2 linked regions of the Neodiprion lecontei genome follow. The protein of the gene in region 2 purifies or fractionates together with the protein of the main gene of each other region. This does not show direct contact. Links are inferred from orthologs where the notes say so. Each region holds a gene or a part of one and is shown on either strand. Other genes may lie near its edges.

Region 1 (9,441 bases), on a different chromosome or scaffold from region 2:
TTGGTGCTCTTGACAGTTAAATAAATAAATCGTTCTGAGGAGGGCCCATATCCGGGTCGAAACGTTAACTAAAAATACGTTTACTTAATTGACCGATCACCAAGATTCTATAATAGATATTTACATTGTTTAGTGGGAACAGCACTCCTAGATATGAGGACTCGAGAAAAACTCCGCGGGGATACGACGATGGATCAGGTCGAGCTACACCCCGCAACAGGCCACCAACGGCACGTACACCGTCGTATAAATCACCGAGAGGAACCCCACATACGAATTCGAGTCCCAGGAGTATGTCTCTTAGCGGAGACGGTACTCCGTTGTACGATGAAAATTAATTTAGCTTAACCACTTATTATGGTTTCGTATTAAAATTAGAAAAATTAAAAATTTAAAAAAATACATATTCTGGTGTAACTCTTTATTTTGGCTACGTATGTATACTCAAATTGTGTACACATGTATGTAATACACCCGTTTATATAAAAGTAAGTAATTATAAGTAGTAATAATGAAAATAACAATAATGATAACAGTAATAATGGTATGAATAATAATAGTAATATAAATAAGTTAATATTATGTGGGAGCACGTAACATGGGTGTATTGGTACACGTAATGGACTTTGGTTTCCTTTAATTTAAAAAAAAAAAATTAAAATTAAACGAACTCGCTTATTATATGTATACAAAGACTTGCCTAGTAGTGTGCGTGCTCTTGACAACAGTGAAATATATCTGTTGTTTTAGATTGAAAGTCGTCCTATATTTGCTACCATATTATTCCTTGACATGCCAATGGAATAAGTGTTATAATTATTTCCGTAGTTAATTGCATTCGTAGATAAATAAAATTAATAAAATGATTTGATACCATATTTTACACACCATCAGACAAATCGTTGTCGTTGACTTTAAAACTATCATGATACACGTACGATATAACTGGTTCTCGACTCAATGGCAGTCGCTGATGCTTTATATCGTGTCTGTAAAATTGAACATTCTTTGAATTAATAATCGGATAGTCGTTTTAGAGGTGTGACGAATTATTACAGGCTCAAAGTGGAAGCTTACTTAATAGTTGGACGGATTTCTTCCAATTTCTTCAAATTTACACCCTGTGGAAGTAAAAACGGGTGTTTAGAGTATAACAAAATAATGTACCTTAAGGTATTTAATTTTTCGTTATTAAATACTGCGTCACAATAGATAAATAACAGTACCAGGGTAATATCTGCAATATTCGTATCCTCCCTTGAGTTTTCGAAGACGTGAGTTGAAAGTTTTCGTCTTATTTTGGACAAACTGTTGACTTGCAAATCGCTAGCAGGCATTCTACTGGCTTCTTTTCTATTAGGAGTCTGGAATTTATATGGATTAATTTATATTTCAAACAGTTCCGACATATTCTATGAATTTTAACTAAATCCCATGGTTATTGTTTCTTATTATGTCTCAGTGATGGAGTCTAAATTTGATATTTATTTATCACCTGCTTACAAGTCGTCTCAAGAAATCTAGCATGCTCTATGATTAGTTATATATACCATATTGTTAGTGATTGCATCATTGGCGTCGCTGTGATTCAACTCTGTCAAGATTCTTTTTCTTTTAACCCGGTTTTTTGCTGTTTGCACAGGTGACAACGAACGAACCTTTTTGCTATAATTGCCTGATTTCTTATGATTGTTTGTCGTCAAAACATCATTGTCTTCGTCTTTTAGTTTTCCATCTACACAAAATTAAGAATGATATTTCTGTTTTAAGTACTGATAAACTAATGATTCATCAGAAAAACTTCAAGTTAGAATGTGTAGGTAAAACATTTGGGACGTTGAATAACAATTGTTTTGACATATTGAAAATATATTTCATTTCAATATGCGGAAAAATATTTGAAATACAGGGAACACTTGCCGCTGACTAAATGTTTATAAGATTCTGTTTCATCATTTTTCAATAATCTCCAGTTTTCACAAAACAAATTTATTTGCTTTGGACATCCATTGCGACACCACAAAATTAACTCCTTAGGAATACCTGCCGAGTGAAAGTTCAGTACCATTATCCCCAAATAATTGATATACATGTTTAGCTAGCTGCAATGTGAATCAAAACTTTCCAATATCTTCAGAATTTAAAAAGTGTAGTGATGAATTAGGTACACGCCTATGAGTGTGAAACATAAAATGAAAAATACTTGACTCTACTGTCCTCAGAATACACATCATTGCATTCATACATACTACGTTTAGTGTTGTTGAGATCGCCCATCAATTCATAAAATTCGTGATTAATGGTTTCAATGATCCTTGGAGAAATTCTTCGATGTACAATACCTGTTACGTGATTCCTATTCACAGCATGACCCATTGAACTGGAAAAAATGGATCAATTATTCTTTTGTGCAGAATTTCACAAATGTTCAAGGTATGTAATAAAACAATTCACAGCCTTATTCAGACTTGTTTGATATACAATTAAGTCTTGCAAATATTTACTTATTCTTATAATGTATCGTTTTAATGCTGATTTTTAGTATCGTGTGGCTCACCTCAGCAAGGTTCCCTTAAAGGCCAAGTAGCATCCTGCATTGTCGCCAAGTTGCAGGAGTGGTGTCCATGCTGTGAGCTGCTTCGTATCATTTGGTGTTTTGGATATTTTGTCAGACACCTCATGATCCAAAATTGATTCGCAGGTCTTTGTTTCAGCAAGTGAATTAACCAGTTTTTCATTCTGATGATATTCACCAATACTTTCATCAGTACCATTTTTAATCATAGGGTACGTCGTCTCATTCACCATTGTAACTTTTTCAATGTCTTTAACGAAACGAGAATTCTCATTGGAACCATTAACAGTCAACTTAAGCTTTTCATTGACAAAGAGACCTTCAGGGATACACAATAATCGTGTTGCTTCGTCGCATCCAGAGGTAATAATGAAGCGTTTCCAAATGTCGATAATAGCTTCCCAATCTTCTGGGAAACCTTGTTGAAATTTACGGCGAACGAATACTGGAAGTTCTGCAGATAATAGTTGGAAATATTTATGGATCAGCTAAAGACAAGTATAAGATGGTTGATGGAAAATATTTTTTATACACGATACAATAAAAATCTGTCATTTATGATATTACTTCTCATGTAATAACAGCATAGCTCTTGCGTGAATGTGACTGAGATTTATATGCGTACCATGTTGTAAATCAGCCATATTTCCAATTAGATGATAGGCATGTTTGAATTTTGATAAAATCCTTGACGAGGTGACTCTATTTGCTATTGGTTTAGTTCGAACTCTGGTACCACTGTCAATAAATGTTAAATGTAAGATGGATTGAAATTTATTCAGCATGCATTAATAGCTCAATGTAGAAGTTTATCTTATTCAAACTATGTATAACAAGTATCTGTATCAGGTACGTATTTGCTACATAAGGTTTTAAGGAGAACATACCACTCCAAATTTCCTTCAATGACAACCTGGTCATCATCATTTAGTTTAACAATCCACAATGTAATTGATCTTATCTTTTTTTTTAACGAATTCAAATGGGCCACATGACAATCCAGCGATCTCACTGATGTTCTGTACGCTTCAGAATCACAATTCCCATAAGAAACTCCACTCGAATCGTTAGGAATAATTCCAACTGGATCTGATTTCTTCGAAAATGATTCCATTTCATTGTAGGATAAGTAATCTATCAGAATCCATAAAATTTCGGTAACCTACGTATATCGGGCGTCCGATGCGAAGAGAAATGAAAAAAAGAAGCAAGCACTAGGATTAGCAAACGCCTGGTCGGAATTTGAATACGTCTCAATGAATAACGAATCACAACAAGTGGCGTTCTGCAACGGACACGTGTGCGTGTTTATCGGATGAAGCAATTGACATCCTCTCGTGTGCATGTGTGCATACATAACATAACCTCTTACTTGACAAGCTTAACCAGAGAGAGGATTTGTGTCGATAACTAGCTCGTAAATTAAGACATCATCGTGATTTATTCGGCGCGGAGTCTTACAGTATTGTTTACATGTCGTTTCAAGGTTCTCCATTTTCAACACCTTATGGTCAGGACGATTATGATGTCGAGGACGACAACGATGAGTACATGGAAGAAGATCGTGATTTGGAGGACCAGGATGAGAGTGACGAAGGTCAGAATTTTTGGGCTTTGTTGATAAAGACATCTTACAATTTGTATATGCATTTATTTAAACTTCAATAATAATAACTTTGATTTGTTTTAATTTTCAGATACGGAAGAGGCTAGTGAGCCCGATATGGGAAAGTCAGAAAAGTACACTGAAATAAAGGAACAGTAAGCAGTAACCAATTTTGACAATATTCTTAATTACAACTCTTAAATAATCGCTTCTGAAATAAACGTTCTTTTCTCCGTAGAATGTATCAAGATAAATTAGCTAGTCTAAAAAAACAGCTTCAACAATTGAAGGATGGAACACATCCGGAATACAATCGTAAGCTCAAACGCCTGGAGGTGCAGTACAAGGAAAGGTGAGGTATTCCTGAAATACGTTAAAATATGTTGTTAGATGTGGAAAAATTATCCTTCAGAGTACTAATTTTCTACTATTAAATTCAGGTTACGGTTGAATGGAATTTACCGGGATTACCTCACCGAGTGGGTAGAAAGAGATTACATACTTGAGAAAAAAGCAGCAGCCAAGGAGTTTGAAGAGAAAAAAATCGACCTCAAGGAAAATTTATTAACCGATATGGAAGAGAAGCGTAAAATGATTGAATCTGATCGGCACACAATGGAACTCACTGGTGATTCTATGGAGGTAATAGGCTTTATCCAGTCTTCTTACTTTTTGACAAATTGATAATGTAAAACTAAGTGATCATCCGTAACTAGTTTGATTCGTTTGTACTCAGGTGAAACCCCCTATGACCAGAAAACTGCGCCGTCGACCCAATGACCCAGTACCTGAGAAAGTAGAGAAACGTAGAAAGCCACCTCCGGCGCAGTTGAATTACTTACTTGATGAAAAGGAGATTGAGAATGACTTAAAAGCGATCAGCCGTTGTAAAATACTATCTACTGTACGAAAACCAGGTACTGATTTTTCGTTTTTATTTTTAATAACTTTTAGTAATGCTTTTTTAATTTTTCAGCAGTCCTGACTGCCTGCAATGTAGTCAATCTTCCAGCTCAGCATGCCAATCCATCTCCTGATACTCCTCTGGTAGAGACAAGGATTGAAGATGGAAAATTACTCTATGAAAGAAGATGGTTAGAGTCCACACAAATATTTATGCATCATGATTTTCTTTCAAAATCAAAGCAACAAAGAATTTATATTTTGTAAATGACTTCATATTTTTAATTTGATTTGCAGGTTTCACCGCGGTCAACCTGTTTATGTTGAAGGCAAGGACTTACCCCGATTCGCTGGTAATATATCAGCGATTGGAACCGAAGCTGTGAGTAAATTTCATTTACTTTAGCACTAATTAAGAAAGAGCTTTAAACAATAGTTCGTGTGTAATTGTTATCTTACAGATCTGGGTAAAGAAGGTATCTGACAATGCCAAAGTCAGAATATACATATACCAACTCAGCCGTGGAAAGATTTCCATTAAACGACGTGCATCATAATGAACCTGACTGATGAAAAACAAACAGGAAATACTTGTTGAAATGTCGATATTTTCAAGTTGGTACTTGTGCAGATTTATAGTTATAAACAGTCAGATGTAACTGTGTTTTTTTTTTCATAGACAACAACATTTTAGCTATGCTCAGTTATGCTGATTTTTATTATTTGTATAATTGTTACTGATCATTCAGTAAAAGATCTTTTACGTCGTTTAAACGTCTAACAGATCTGTACAATCAAAACTCTGTCTAAATGAATGCAACGGTAGTTTATATTATTTACTTCCCCCCTGCTCTTCCCTGTCACCGATGTCCATTTACGTTACCATTTGCTGATAGTAGTAGTTGATGTCATGAATGAAAATAAGGTGAGTTCGTGCGCAGCCTTCTCTAATTGTGAGACCCAATCACGTCCTGCTCCAGATAGACGTCCAGCACGGATTACACATTCGGGCCGGAGATCGCTCGGTCCTTAAAAAGTGACAGAAACGAACGCGACCAATATCCGTTTCTTTTTAAACAGAAACGTAAATCTCATATTAGGCACTCGTGTGTGAAATTATTTTCGAAAAAGGATAGGAAAAAGACTTGAGTGTAAGTGCAAAGAATATAATTAATTTTTTTGAACTGAAATTTCTTCCCTTTGTTCATTGTATATATTAATTATATATTGATGTTAACATGTCTGATTTAAAGACTTCAAACTCGCGTTGAAGGATTGTATCCACTTGTGAAACGATCTTCGAGGTTTTTCATCTCCACGCGGTTATAAACACTGGAATAAGCTTTATGAACTCGGAAAAAATATATAGTATTATTTATCTAGTAATAGTATTACTAGGATTATTTATAAGAACGCTAGGCCTGCGTACAGACTCATACAAGTCTCTGCAGGATTTTTATGTAACAACCCCTTTCCATAAAAATTGTACCCCTATACACCTGTTTCAATAAAATTTAATTTACTTAATTGATTTATTAAATGATAATTGTCGCATACACTGGAATCAATGGTTGAGCAGGACTACATCTACTGTAATACGGGAAGTTGGATGTTCTATCACCAAAGGTCACTTGACATGAGAGGGTCATACACATACAAGAAAATTGGGAAAAATTTTTGTTCGAAACAATAACAAGGCAAAAACTTTCGGTCGAAAATTTGGTAAAAAAGTAAGGCTAACCCCTTTGCATTTTTGGCGGAAATTTTCGCGAATTTGAAAAGTGCTGGAATAAATTCTATGATGCACTATTCCGACGTAATTTTGCGAGAGAAATCGATTGGGCGCAGTCCCAACACGCTGCAAGCAACGTATAAAGAGTTGGAGCCGAAAAACGAGAACCTGAGTTTTCGACATTTTTCAGCTGGTGCTTTTTTCATCGTAATTTCCCTGCTGTTGATCCCACGCTATTTTCGCTGCGTTTTCTGAGTTCCTGGGGGTCCAATTAATTGGGACAGGGTCATACAAATCGAATCTGAGACGAAAAATTTTCGGTCAAAAATTTGACAAATAAGTGAGGCTTTGCATTTTTCGCGGAAATTTTAGCGAATTTTGAAAGTGCTGAAATAAATTCTTTGATGCATTATTCCGACGTAATTTTGCGAGAGTAATCGATTGGGCGCAGTCCCAACATGCTGCGAGCAACGTATGAAGAGTGAAAGCCGAAAAACGAGAACCTGAGTTTTCGACATTTTTCAGCTGGTGCTTTCACCATCGTAATTTCTCTGCTGTTGATCCCACGCTGTTTTCGCTGCGTTTTCTGAGTTCCTTGGGGTCCAACTGGTCGGGAAAGAGTCATACGAATCAATTCTGAGACGAAAAATTTTTTGGTCAAAAAAAAAGGAAGGTTAACCCCTTTGTATTTTTGGCGAAAATTTTCGCGATTTTCAAAAGTGCTGGAATAAATTAATTGTGGCACTATTCCGACGTAATTTTACAAGAGAAATCGATTGGGCGCAGTCCCAATACGGTGCGATCAACGCATCAAAAGTTACAGCCAAAAAACGAAAACCCGAATTTTCGACATTTTTCAGCAGGTGCTTTTTCCGTCGTATCTTCTTTCCCGTTGATCCCACACTCCTTTTACCGCGTTTTCTGAGTTCCTTGGTGTCCAATTGGTCGGGAAAGAGTCATACGAATCAATTCTGAGACGAAAAATTTTTTGGTCAAAAAAAAAGGAAGGTTAACCCCTTTGTATTTCTGGCGAAAATTTTCGCGATTTTCAAAAGTGCTGGAATAAGTTAATTGTGGCACTATTCCGACGTAATTTTGCAAGAGAAATCGATTGGGCGCAGTCCCAATACGGTGCGATCAATGCATCAAAAGTTACAGCCATAAAACGAAAGCCTGAATTTTCGACATGTTTCAGCAGGTACTTTTTCCGTCGTATCTTCCTTCCCGTTGATCCCACGCTCCTTTTACCGCGTTTTCTGAGTTCCTTGGGGTCCGATTGGTCGGGAGAGAGTCATACGAATCAATTCTGAGACGAAAAATTTTTTGGTCAAAAAAAAAGGAAGGTTAACCCCTTTGTATTTTTGGCGAAAATTTTCGCGATTTGCAAAAGTGCTGGAATAAGTTAATTGTGGCACTATTCCGAAGTACTTCTGCGACAGAAATCGATTGGGCGCAGTCCCAATACGGTGCGATCAACGCATCAAAAGTTACAGCCAAAAAACGAAAACCTGAATTTTCGACATTTTTCAGCAGGTGCTTTTTCCATCGTATCTTCTTTCCCGTTGATCCCACGCTCCTTTTGCCGCGTTTTCTGAGTTCCTTGGGGTCCAATTGGTCAGGAAAGAGTCATACGAATCAATTCTGAGACGAAAAATTTTTTGGTCAAAAAAAAAGGAAGGTTAACCCCTTTGTATTTTTAGCGAAAATTTTCGCGATTTGCAAAAGTGCTGGAATAAGTTAATTGTGGCACTATTCCGAAGTACTTCTGCGAGAGAAATCGATTGGGCGCAGTCCCAATACGGTGCGATCAACGCATCAAAAGTTACAGCCAAAAAACGAAAACCTGAATTTTCGACATTTTTCAGCAGGTGCTTTTTCCATCGTATCTTCTTTCCCGTTGATCCCACGCTCCTTTTGGCGCGTTTTCTGAGTTCCTTGGGGTCCAATTGGTCAGGAAAGAGTCATACGAATCAATTCTGAGACGAAAAATTTTTTGGTCAAAAAAAAAGGAGGGTTAACCCCTTTGTATTTTTGGCGAAAATTTTCGCGATTTTCAAAAGTGCTGGAATAAATTAATTGTGGCACTATTCCGACGTAATTTTGCCAGAGAAATCGATTGGGCGCAGTCCCAATACGGTGCGATCAACGCATCAAAAGTTACAGCCAAAAAACGAAAACCCGAATTTTCGACATTTTTCAGCAGGTGCTTTTTCCTTCGTATCTTCTTTCCCGTTGATCCCACGCTCCTTTTACCGCGTTTACTGAGTTCCTTGGGGTCCGATTGGTCGGGAGAGAGTCATACGAATCAATTCTGAGACGAAAAATTTTTTGGTCAAAAAAAAAGGAAGGTTAACCCCTTTGTATTTTTGGCGAAAATTTTCGCGATTTTCAAAAGTGCTGGAATAAATTAATTGTGGCACTATTCCGACGTAATTTTACAAGAGAAATCGATTGGGCGCAGTCCCAATACGGTGCGATCAACGCATCAAAAGTTACAGCCAAAAAACGAAAACCTGAATTTTCGACATTTTTCAGCAGGTGCTTTTTCCATCGTATCTTCTTTCCCGTTGATCCCACGCTCCTTTTGCCGCGTTTTCTGAGTTCCTTGGGGTCCAATTGGTCAGG
Region 2 (10,299 bases):
GCCATCGCTGCTGCTGATAGTTTTTCCTCTATCGTCGACGTAGCCGGGAGTCTGGTGCTGATCGGAGCCGGGGCTACGAGGGCAGGGGACAGAGCGGGAGAAATTTCAGGCGGTTTGATGTCAAGAGTTTTCGTTTCGGCAGGAATAGTCGCAGCGGCAGTCGCGACAGCTGCCAGCGAAATTTTATTGGCGGATTGTTTGATCTCTGCGCTAGTTGCCAGCATCGACTTGTTGCCACCGGGTAGTGGTTCCTCTTTGGACGCCTTTTCTTGGTCCTTGCCCTCCTCCTTACTGAACTCCATGGTATCGGGAATGTCGTTGGATGGAAAAATTTCCTGTTGATAAGTGAAGAGATTCTCTTGCTCGGCCTCGGAAACCTCAGCCTCCGATATGATTAGCCTGTCCTCCGGGTCGTCGGCTGGTCCGTCCTCGTCACCGGGCAGGTCGCTGAAGAGCAGGTCGAGCGTTGTTGCTACTTTTCCAGCCTCCTCTGCTACTGGAACAGGCTTCAAGGGGCTGAAAGAAGGAGATTCGCAGAGCTTATCGAATGCCTCTTCGCAGGCGAGCTGAGATCTGGCCTTCCCGGACGGAGGAAGAACATCCGCGTCTTCCACCCTCTTAATTAAAGATCTGAAAATTCGAAATGTGCAGTCAGACAAGGATAGTAGTCTTGAGTCAATACATTATAGATGATACAAATGCAAATGACAAACCTTCGAACTCTCTTTTTTGGATCGCCGTCAACCTCGAGTTTTATTTCCTTCGGCAACGGAGGTAGTACCTTCTGTTTTTTCTTCGGGCTCTTCGGCTCCTCGTCGAAAACGCGTTTTTTAACCTTGTCCTTCTCACCGCCCGAGTCCCGTTTGTTTCTTACTTCAAATTCGAAAGGTTCCGGTTCTTTGAACTCGTAAATATCTTCTGTGCTCTCGGCAGTCTTGGTTTCAACAACGGCTTCGAGTTTGGGCGGCTCTAACTGTTTCTTCTCTGCCTTCGGTGATGCGGGCATTGGGACCAAAGGCTTGTCCTCACTTTCCTTCTCCTCAAGATTCGCCTCTTCCGTTTCCCTTTCAACCCTAATCATGTCGAGTTTGACAGCCTTTTCAAAGCCCTTCAGCTCCGATCTGATCTGGTTCAGATCAAAGTCCCGACCCTTGGGTTGATCCTCGTCGCTCTCAGGCTCTGACTTCACTGCCTGATTCTTTCCCGGCGTTCTCCTGAGCCTGCGTCCCCTTCTGAGCTCCTCAGGTGCATCCTTCTCCTCCTCAGCTTCGCTGCAGTCCTCGGTTTTCACCTCATCATCCCCGCGTTGCCTCGTGTTTTTTTTCCGCTCCTCCATTCCCCTGGATCTTGTCCTTGTTTGCTCCGGCTCCATCGTGTCTGATTCGTAGGCATCGCTGTCGCTCTCCGATGCCACTGATATGTCTGTATGACCAGACATGCGTCTGGTACGTCTCCGCGGTTCGAGCCCCGAGGAGTCGTTGTTCCTGGTAACTCTGGTCTGCCTTCCTACGGCTGGAGTCGCAGGGCTCTTCGTCCTGGAACTTGAACTTGCGACCGAAGACGGTGTGCTTGATCGGGGTGGGTGGCCGTCCTTCTCCTTCTCGTCCCGCTTTCCGACATCCTTCATCATCGACGCAGTTGGTATTGCAGTAGTTACGGAGGTAGGCGCAACACTGTGTGCCCTTCTCCTGTTCTGGGCTGACGACTTGGCTAGTTTACTAGACGCAGAGGAGCCCGCAGTACTTGGAGTCTGTGGCCTAGGAGTGGTCTTGCCGCGCTTTACGCGACCTTGAGTCTGTGTGAAATTTTGCGCAATCCTGGAGCCCTTTATCCACTCGTCGTATCGCGTGTTCCAGCCAGTGTAGTGGACCAGGTAAACCGGCTCAGCACCCTCTTTCTCTATATCGATTACTTTTGCCTCGTACGTTACTTTAGACTCGTGGTTAGGCCCGTAGTAAACCTTGAGACGATCTCCGAGGTCAACCACCCCTTTGTACGACGGTGCGGGATCGGTGGGCATTTCCTCCATGGGCCTCGGCTTTTCCGGCTCGCTTTCTTTGCGTTTTCTGCCGCGCTTTTTCAACTCTTCTTCGGTAGGTCGGCGCTGCTTCGGGGGAATCTTCTTCTCAGTCTCTGCGGATGGTGTTCGAACGTCTCTGGGTTCGGTAATCGATGGTTTACCCTTGGTCGTGTCATCCTTGGACTTGGATCTGGTCACGGTTAGCTGTTCTTCCTCTTTCACCTTGTCTTCCGCCTTCTTCTCCGACTTTTTCGCATCTCCCTTCTTCTTTTCCCCAGTTTTTTTCTTTTCATCTTTGAGCTTTGCTGGCGGCTTTGCCTTTGGCGCCAATGTGGCAACGATTTTCTGTGATTTTTCGCTAGACGACGATTCCTCCTCCCCGTCGATGTTCACATCGCTGTCTTGTCCACTCCCGCTCTCCTCGAATTCCTCCTTCTTCTTAATCTTCACAATCTCCTCCTCCTTCATCGGCTCCTTCTTCACCTCCTTTTTCTCCCGTTTTTCCTCCTCCTCGATTCTTTTCTCTTTCTCCTTTTCCTTCTCCTTCTCCTTCTCCTTCTCCTTCTCCTTCTCCTTCTCCTTCTCTTTCTCCTTTTCTTTTTCCTTGTCCTTTTCTTTCTCCTTCTCCTTTTCCCTGTCTTTGTCTTTCTCTTTTTCTTCCTCCTCCTTCTCAATCTTTGTTGAGGGCATCTGTGGCGGGACAGGCGTATTCCTGTCTCTGTCTCTGATCAGACTCCTGCCGGGTCTCTGTTTCCTGGTACTGCCCCTCGGGTGATTTACCATTGTGCAACCAAGCTTCCTATAAAAATCTTCAAAAGAATGAAGGAACTTTTTGTACTGTTGTTTCACGGCGTTCTGAGTTGACGACGTACTCTGAATGGGAAAACCGAGTCGACGAGTAATGGACTTCCATTGATTCTGATTTGTGACACGATTGTAACCACCCAGTTTGTAAACGGCTCTGAATAGTCTGTACAAGTCTATATCCTGTGTCCCTATCATAGGACAATTGTTTATCGGAGTTCCTCGATCGTCCATAAACTTGTAAAGCTGTGCAACAAAGTGATCCTTTTCCTCCCTTGGCTCGTCATCGGAACTCTGAAAATAAAAAAAAAAAAAAAAAAAAAAAAAAGAACAAAACAGATTCGATGCGTGAATCGGTCAGTGACAACCAAGTTTAAACATCATGGATTACAGACACTTACATCGGAATCCAGTTCTGCGTCACTATCGCTGTTCCCGCTAGAGTCTGCATTGCCAAATAAAGAATCCCTGTCCCAGTGAGGTGGAAGTTCGTTTTTGTCGAGAAATAACAATGCCTTTTCAACGGCAATTTTGAGCGCATTATTCTCCACCTTGTTAACCAATTCTTTGGTGAACTCTGTTGCTTCCTTCTTTGGAACGGTGTAGCTGAGGACAAAACAAGTAACATCGCGTATTGTTGCCGCTAGGAAAGTGAGAGAAGTCGCACAAGAGGTGAATATCAAAGAATGGCTGGACAAAAATACGTTATCATTAAATGTAGAAAAAGAAGAGTAAATATTACAGTTGTTAATCACAGAGATTGTATATGAAGGGATTTCAATGGATATGTTGACAATTAGAAAATATCAAATGTAAACGAAACTAAATGTTTGGGTACAATAAAACTTCTCTTAACGGACAAGTTAGAAATCCCTGACAGAAAAGCATAATTGAAAATGTATCTCCCAATAATGGACACTTCTCTATAAAAGACAAGATTTTCCTTCCCGAAGGTGTCTGCTATTGGCAAGTTTGACCATATTACAATTAATAAGCATCTTAGATGGAACTGCCATATAAATTATCTTATTAGCAAAACAAAGTATATGGTTTACGTGATATTCAATCTAAGTAAAATATTATCGTTTGACAACCTATAATATACATTACCAGACTAATGGATTTATATCTTAGGGTGCTAGAAATAAAACTACTCTGCAAGCACTGAACAGTATAGATAATAGGATTATAAACATAACGAAAATGGCAGATAGCAAAAAAGTTATATCATTAAATTTACATATGCAATATACAAATAATGCAACCGCCACTAGAAACGATAGTATTACACTACCGAAAACATACAGAAATAAAGGTCAAAGGAATCATTTATACTTAACTACATACCTATTATTTCAATAAAATACCAAGTGAATATGAAGCAAGAAAAAATCGCTACAAATCTAAAATGAAAAGAATATATTCAAAATATGATAAAAGACTGTGTAAGATTGAAGGTTTACGAAAATATGTAAATAAATAAATTGAGCAAACAATAATCGTTTTATTTCTCAAATCTATCGTAGTTCATAGGTATTCTTAATATTGTCGAATTGAACAAACTGAATAGAGATGATAAATAATCTCTGCAGCAGAAGGTGATTATTATGCAGATTCTATAGACATGAACAGTATTGGAAGTGTCTTTCGATAAATGTAAATTCAAATTCAAATACTCACTATCTGGCATCCTTAAATGAACGAACTAGATAGTCATCTCGGACACGTATCCTGACTGTATCCTGGGCAGTTGGAGCAACTACCAACCCTGGGAACCAATTGTCCTTTTTCTTCTTGTCTCCAAGCTCTACGCACACGACTCTACCAATCTCTGGTTCTGTTTCGACTTGTTCTTTTCCCACACCTCCGGAACCTGATTCTCTGACACCTCGCGGTGGGCTTTCCTCATCGTCGCTGCTCTCATCCCTGCAGAACGGTTAACGTTTCATAAGACAAGACGGAGATAGTTGCATTTTCTGTCGTTTTCTTCGGTTTATACTTCTTCCGGAGCTTGAGTCATAATTATTTTTAGCACTTACTGAGCTTGCCTGGATCTCCGCCCCCTCCTACCGCCGATAACAGGATTACCAAAGTGTTCGGGATGAGTGAGAGGCAGCTGATCCAAAGTTTCACTCTCTGCAAAGTGTCTGCCACTTTTCAGGCACAAAGCAGTTCGTCTGAGAGTCGTTATGTCTCCGTCGTCAAAAACGACAGTGTACTGACTACAGTCTTGTATTTTGTTGACGGTAGCATCGACGAATTCCTTTCTGTCATTGTGCTTGGCTTCGACCAGCCCCCCTACCCTGAGCGTGCCTTTTATCTGATCATCGGTGACTGTCGCTGTTCCCAAGCCCTGCTTATACGTTACACGGCATTTCACCGACCGCACAACCTTCCTGATTTTAGCCTCACAAAACGCACCCTTGTACTTAGCGCTTACCTCCGTACCAACCGACAGATACGGTGGATCGTCTCCCTGGAAATTAGATGGTTAAAGGTACGTTATTTTTGTTACAAATTTTTATTCATTTTTATTCCGCGATCCGGATCCATCAGCTAGCGAAGATGGGATGAGAATATATGATACACAACATTGATTGAATGGCGGCAACGAAAAAGGAACGATTCTTGGGAAGTGAAAACATACGCAATACTTGGTGGGTGGGAATCAGAGTGGGAACAAAAAGCTGCGAAAACGAGCGAAGCGATTCCGAGATGAGGCGAAAACCAGAATGGTAATTGAGATATGTTGAAGATGCGAATTCGAGCTCATGGATTCTTACCAGCATTTTCTAACGTTCTACAATCTTCATAGGCAGTTTCGGTAGGTAGCCGTACTCGCACCGAGACATGAAAACGGTCGTCAGTTCCGAATATCCTCGGAAATAGTAAAGAGAAGTGATCACACCGAGAACGAGAAGGGTCTTTGTTGACCTCTTTCGCCTTATGCGAGAACGAGAATATCGTTGCTCTAGCTTATATCACTGGTTCAGCGACACCGCGGACAAACACCACTAACTGCCACAAACTGCTGTTGTTCCCTGCCCATTTCCCACTCCCATCGGTCGCTCGCGGAGTGCTGCTACCAACCACTTTGCTCTGACGATCAGGGCCGTCAATCCATGACGAAAAAAATACCCGCTCCCAGTAGTTCCGGAAAATTTACCATTTTTCCTTTCGGCGAATAATCGCATAATAATAGATCACGATATCCGCTGCATTTCTACACTTTACGTTACCCGCAAGCGCAGTGTCGGTATTTTAAACTCGATAGAGACGCCGGCGAGGCCTCGGTCTATCAATGATCTCGATGAATACGCGCCAAGCGTGTCGAACCATGTGACGAGAGACATTTTTTGGAACTTGTAAAGGCGTTGGCGACCCTGTATGGCGGCCCGCATTTCGCAGGGGGTCGAAGAACGTCAAAATACGTATTTAAAACGAATCGATGATGACTAAATCGGCGCTATACGATGGACTAATTGGTGTTTAATATTTTTTTACCCATTATCAGCGTAGTTAAAGCCGGGCGAAAAACGGTGAGACGATGAAGTGGAGATGTAGTCTCGCGGGCAATTGCGCGGCGCAGTGGACGCATCGGCTGCTTCGGCTGCTGCAACGTTGATAAAAATGTGAAACTACGGGGGCGACGATTCCGTCTGAATAGCCAGAGCGAAATAAAAAATGGCGGCGAACAGCGAAGTGCCGGTGGACATCAGCGAGAGTAACGCACTTGGCAGCGATCACACGGTGAGTTTGTAGTTTGATAAAGTAAAATCGAGCCGCGCGATATTCGCGACATTGTGCAAGGTCTACGGATATTCGTTCAAAGAATATTCCCTGAAATCGTGTTTCCGATGGTGCAATTTTGGTATAAGAAAATTCGGTTCGTCGTCATCGTCGTAGTTTCGTCGGACGGTAAAGCAGACTAAAACTATGCGCCGCCAAGTCGACCGATTTCACTACGCCGACTAAAATACAAAGAATGTACAAATGCCTGGCGCTCTTTTCGATATTACAGATTTTCCCAATCACGCCCCGAAAGCCGCACATCATAATGGCCGCAATTTTCACGCCTGACAATGCGGTAATTTAGACGCCATTTATTTTGGCGCGTGCACGTGGACGTTTTCACGAGTCGAACGCCGCCGTCACGGACGCAGGCTTTCATTTTGTTTCCACGATCATCGCGAGTTATACCGCGTCGCGCTGTAACCGGGCTAAATAGTTGGTCAATCAAACAGCCGACAACCTTTCGTAGATTAGTTTAACGCACATGAACTCTATCGTAAGTAAAATCGACACGTGTCCAAGAATATCCAAATTTTATCCGATATCTCACAAGCGCCGTAATTCAAACTTTACACGAAACAGTCGCGGCCACCGGCTTCTTAAGTTTTCTAACCAAACAACCTTCGCCTCGTGTTTTGTAAAATTTACCATCAGACCAGAATTCATACAGTTAAATTTTTTACGCATTTGAGTATTAGTGAATTATTTCTAAAATCGTTCGTTAACTAGTATTTTGCATTTTCATCTGTTTATCTAGCTTCGGGATTACGGCAGACCTGAAAAGAAAATTTGAATTTGTTCTGAGATCTGTAATGTTTAATGTATCGATATTCTTTCAATTCACATCTAAAATCATATACAGAGTGTATGTATTTTTGTTTGAAAAATGTATAGACGTTGGGGAATTTTGTCAATGTTGAAATTCGCAGTGCTGCTTTCTTTGCCCTTTGATTTTTTTCATTCTTTTAGTCTCAGCAACAACAACAATATCTTGATCTCGAGAGGCAATGTGTTCAATCTTATATTCTCTAACTTATCAAATTCTTCTTGCAATATTTCTCATGATTCAATTTTTTATTGTGATGCCTTTCACTTGCTTCTCGATATCATGCTTCTTACCACTAGTAACAACTTGCTGAGCCGAACAACTTTATTGCCGAGGTGCCCAGTCAAGTTGATGTATCTGATCTACTCTCAAATCGCCATGTTGAATCATTACATTGTTCCATTTTTGATTTAATCGAGAAACATATTTCTAAGATTACTATCAATCATTATACCCATCCTAAGTGGTATCCTAAAAAAGTCATTTGCGCATTTCGTCCAAAGAAAAAGTATCATAGATTATTTGAGATGTGTAATTTTAGATTCAAACCATATCTGCACAAAAACCTGCTACTATGCAATGGATTCTAAAGTGTACTTATTGTCGTGTATTAAAGGATTTACACCTGTTAATTATAAATAAATAAAATTTCTCATTTATAGACACTTAAGATGGAAACCATGGAAGTAGCTGAGCCAGTGGTGCCATTGGGAAAGGACGCAGCGACGCCAAATGACAAGGAGGCAGTGTCAGTGGACGATATGACCTCGCGAGACTACTACTTCGACTCGTATGCACACTTTGGGATTCATGAAGAGATGCTGAAGGATGAGATAAGGACAATGACGTACAGAAACAGTATGTACCACAACAAGCACCTGTTCAAGGGTAAAACGGTACTGGACATAGGCTGCGGCACAGGTATCCTGTCGATGTTCGCAGCCAAGGCAGGGGCGGCTCGCGTCATCGGCATTGAGTGCTCGAACATAGTCGAGTACGCAAAGAAGATCGTGGAGGCGAACCAGCTCTCGAATGTGATAACGATCCTGAAGGGAAAAGTGGAGGAAGTGACTCTGCCGGATGGTATTGAGAAGGTAGACATAATAATATCCGAATGGATGGGCTACTGCTTGTTCTACGAATCGATGCTGGACACGGTCCTGTTTGCCCGAGATAAGTGGCTGTGTGAAGACGGAATGCTGTTTCCGGACAAGGCGACACTTTTCATATGCGGCATCGAGGACCGCCAGTATAAGGACGAGAAGATAAACTGGTGGGACGACGTCTACGGATTTGACATGAGCAGTATCAGGAAAGTTGCGATAAGCGAGCCGCTGGTGGACGTTGTCGACCCAAAACAGGTTGTGACGAATGCTTGCCTGATAAAAGAGGTCGATCTGTACACGGTAACAAAGGCGGACCTGGATTTCACGTCGCCGTTCAATCTACAGGTGAGAAGGAACGACTACGTCCAGGCTCTGGTCACATTCTTCAACATAGAGTTTACCAAGTGCCACAAACGCATAGGATTCAGTACGGCGCCTGAGGCGCAGTACACGCACTGGAAACAGACTGTATTTTACTTTGACGATTACATGACTGTGAAAAAAGGGGAGGAAATATATGGAGTGTTCTCAATGAAGCCCAACGCGAGAAATAATCGAGACCTCGACTTCAGCATCGAACTTGACTTCAAGGGTGAATTGTGCGAGGTGCACGAAACTAATACGTACCGCATGCGCTGATTCACACTTGGCGTATAAAGAGAAAATACGAAAATTGATCTAGCTACTTCCGCATTCTCTATTAGATATTAAGTCCGCCTTTCGGCCAATTCTCGTGGCTCACTCAGCCGTGCCACTCTGGTCCGATAACGACAAAAATTACGACCTGACCCGAGCCGTGGGTCAAAAGGAGAAGCTTGGATGTTCGCGATAATCCGTTGTGGAAAAATGGGATTCCATTTTTATTTAGGAGAAATTAGAAGAAATAATAAAAATTAAAAAAAAAATTAAAAAATTACCATACTTTACATTGATCTTCCTTGAAGAGGGACAAATTAACCAAACATCACAAAGATGAATTTTCCTATACAATTAATACTAATCCCCTGTAAGTTATCTTAATTATAACATATTTGGCTCACAGGTTCTTACATCAAATATTCTTCTTTTTAGTTTTTTCTTGATTTTAACTCGCTTTTGTCAGACAAATGGTATTCTCGATTAATGGCAAGGATGTTTCTACCCGCAACAGCATCCTTTTGCCATGCTATTGTTTTTGTTCATACATTTTTTTTCCTAGTACCAATAAAATTACATATTTACTTGGAAGTATAGGAATTGAAATGTAGACTAACAATTCGGAGTTTTTGAAGCTCCTATTTTTAACATTATTTTTGTTGTTCGACTTCAATGACCGATGAAAAATAGTATATGCTCCGAATAGGTTATAATTCAAATCTAAGCGATAATGAAATATTAGCCAATATTTCAAAAACAATGACCAATTCACATCATCGAACGTGGAAGTAAATGATTTATCGACACAGGGACTAGGCTATCGATTATTGTTCTATTATTGATTTCGATTCACATAATAATTGTAACAACGGAGAATCTTCTTTGTCTGAATTGATAATTCTAGTCAGGTAAAATCGGTTTTCTACTAGGTTGCTAACTAGACCAGGTAATTGTCAAACCAGCAGGCAAACGTATTTCTAATCATGCCGACAGACTGCCAAGTCACAGTGCAGCTGTATATATTATACTATGTATAATTTTTATAAGGAATCATTACTGTTTGTTAGATTGATGTGAAAACGGAAAACGGAACACGAAAAACAAACTTCTTTCCC

The links.
Region 1: the proteins of AT-rich interactive domain-containing protein 4A (region 2) and sin3 histone deacetylase corepressor complex component SDS3 purify together in Homo sapiens (affinity purification with western blotting; 3 studies listed by BioGRID, with this or other methods). This does not show direct contact. The link is inferred for Neodiprion lecontei from reciprocal best matches to the Homo sapiens genes ARID4B and SUDS3.

The regions. Positions count from the first base shown.
Region 1 is NC_060263.1:2,839,728-2,849,168, forward strand, and holds sin3 histone deacetylase corepressor complex component SDS3, read left to right. Parts: upstream 1-3,910; 5' UTR 3,911-4,048; coding exon 4,049-4,172; intron 4,173-4,272; coding exon 4,273-4,336; intron 4,337-4,419; coding exon 4,420-4,533; intron 4,534-4,621; coding exon 4,622-4,823; intron 4,824-4,917; coding exon 4,918-5,098; intron 5,099-5,157; coding exon 5,158-5,275; intron 5,276-5,381; coding exon 5,382-5,466; intron 5,467-5,545; coding exon 5,546-5,641; 3' UTR 5,642-5,899; downstream 5,900-9,441. Other genes in the region: transcription elongation factor SPT6, read left to right, coding at 134-338; uncharacterized protein LOC107222062, read right to left, coding at 881-989, 1,078-1,121, 1,227-1,364, 1,551-1,735, 1,921-2,043, 2,250-2,380, 2,558-3,029, 3,201-3,313 and 1 more.
Region 2 is NC_060266.1:854,796-865,094, forward strand, and holds the start of AT-rich interactive domain-containing protein 4A, read right to left. Parts: upstream 6,097-10,299; 5' UTR 5,614-6,096; coding exon 5,608-5,613; intron 5,301-5,607; coding exon 4,864-5,300; intron 4,751-4,863; coding exon 4,505-4,750; intron 3,431-4,504; coding exon 3,226-3,430; intron 3,119-3,225; coding exon 714-3,118; intron 631-713; coding exon 1-630. Other genes in the region: protein arginine N-methyltransferase 1, read left to right, coding at 6,509-6,574, 8,105-9,187. UniProt on the Homo sapiens protein: Acts as a transcriptional repressor. May function in the assembly and/or enzymatic activity of the Sin3A corepressor complex or in mediating interactions between the complex and other regulatory complexes.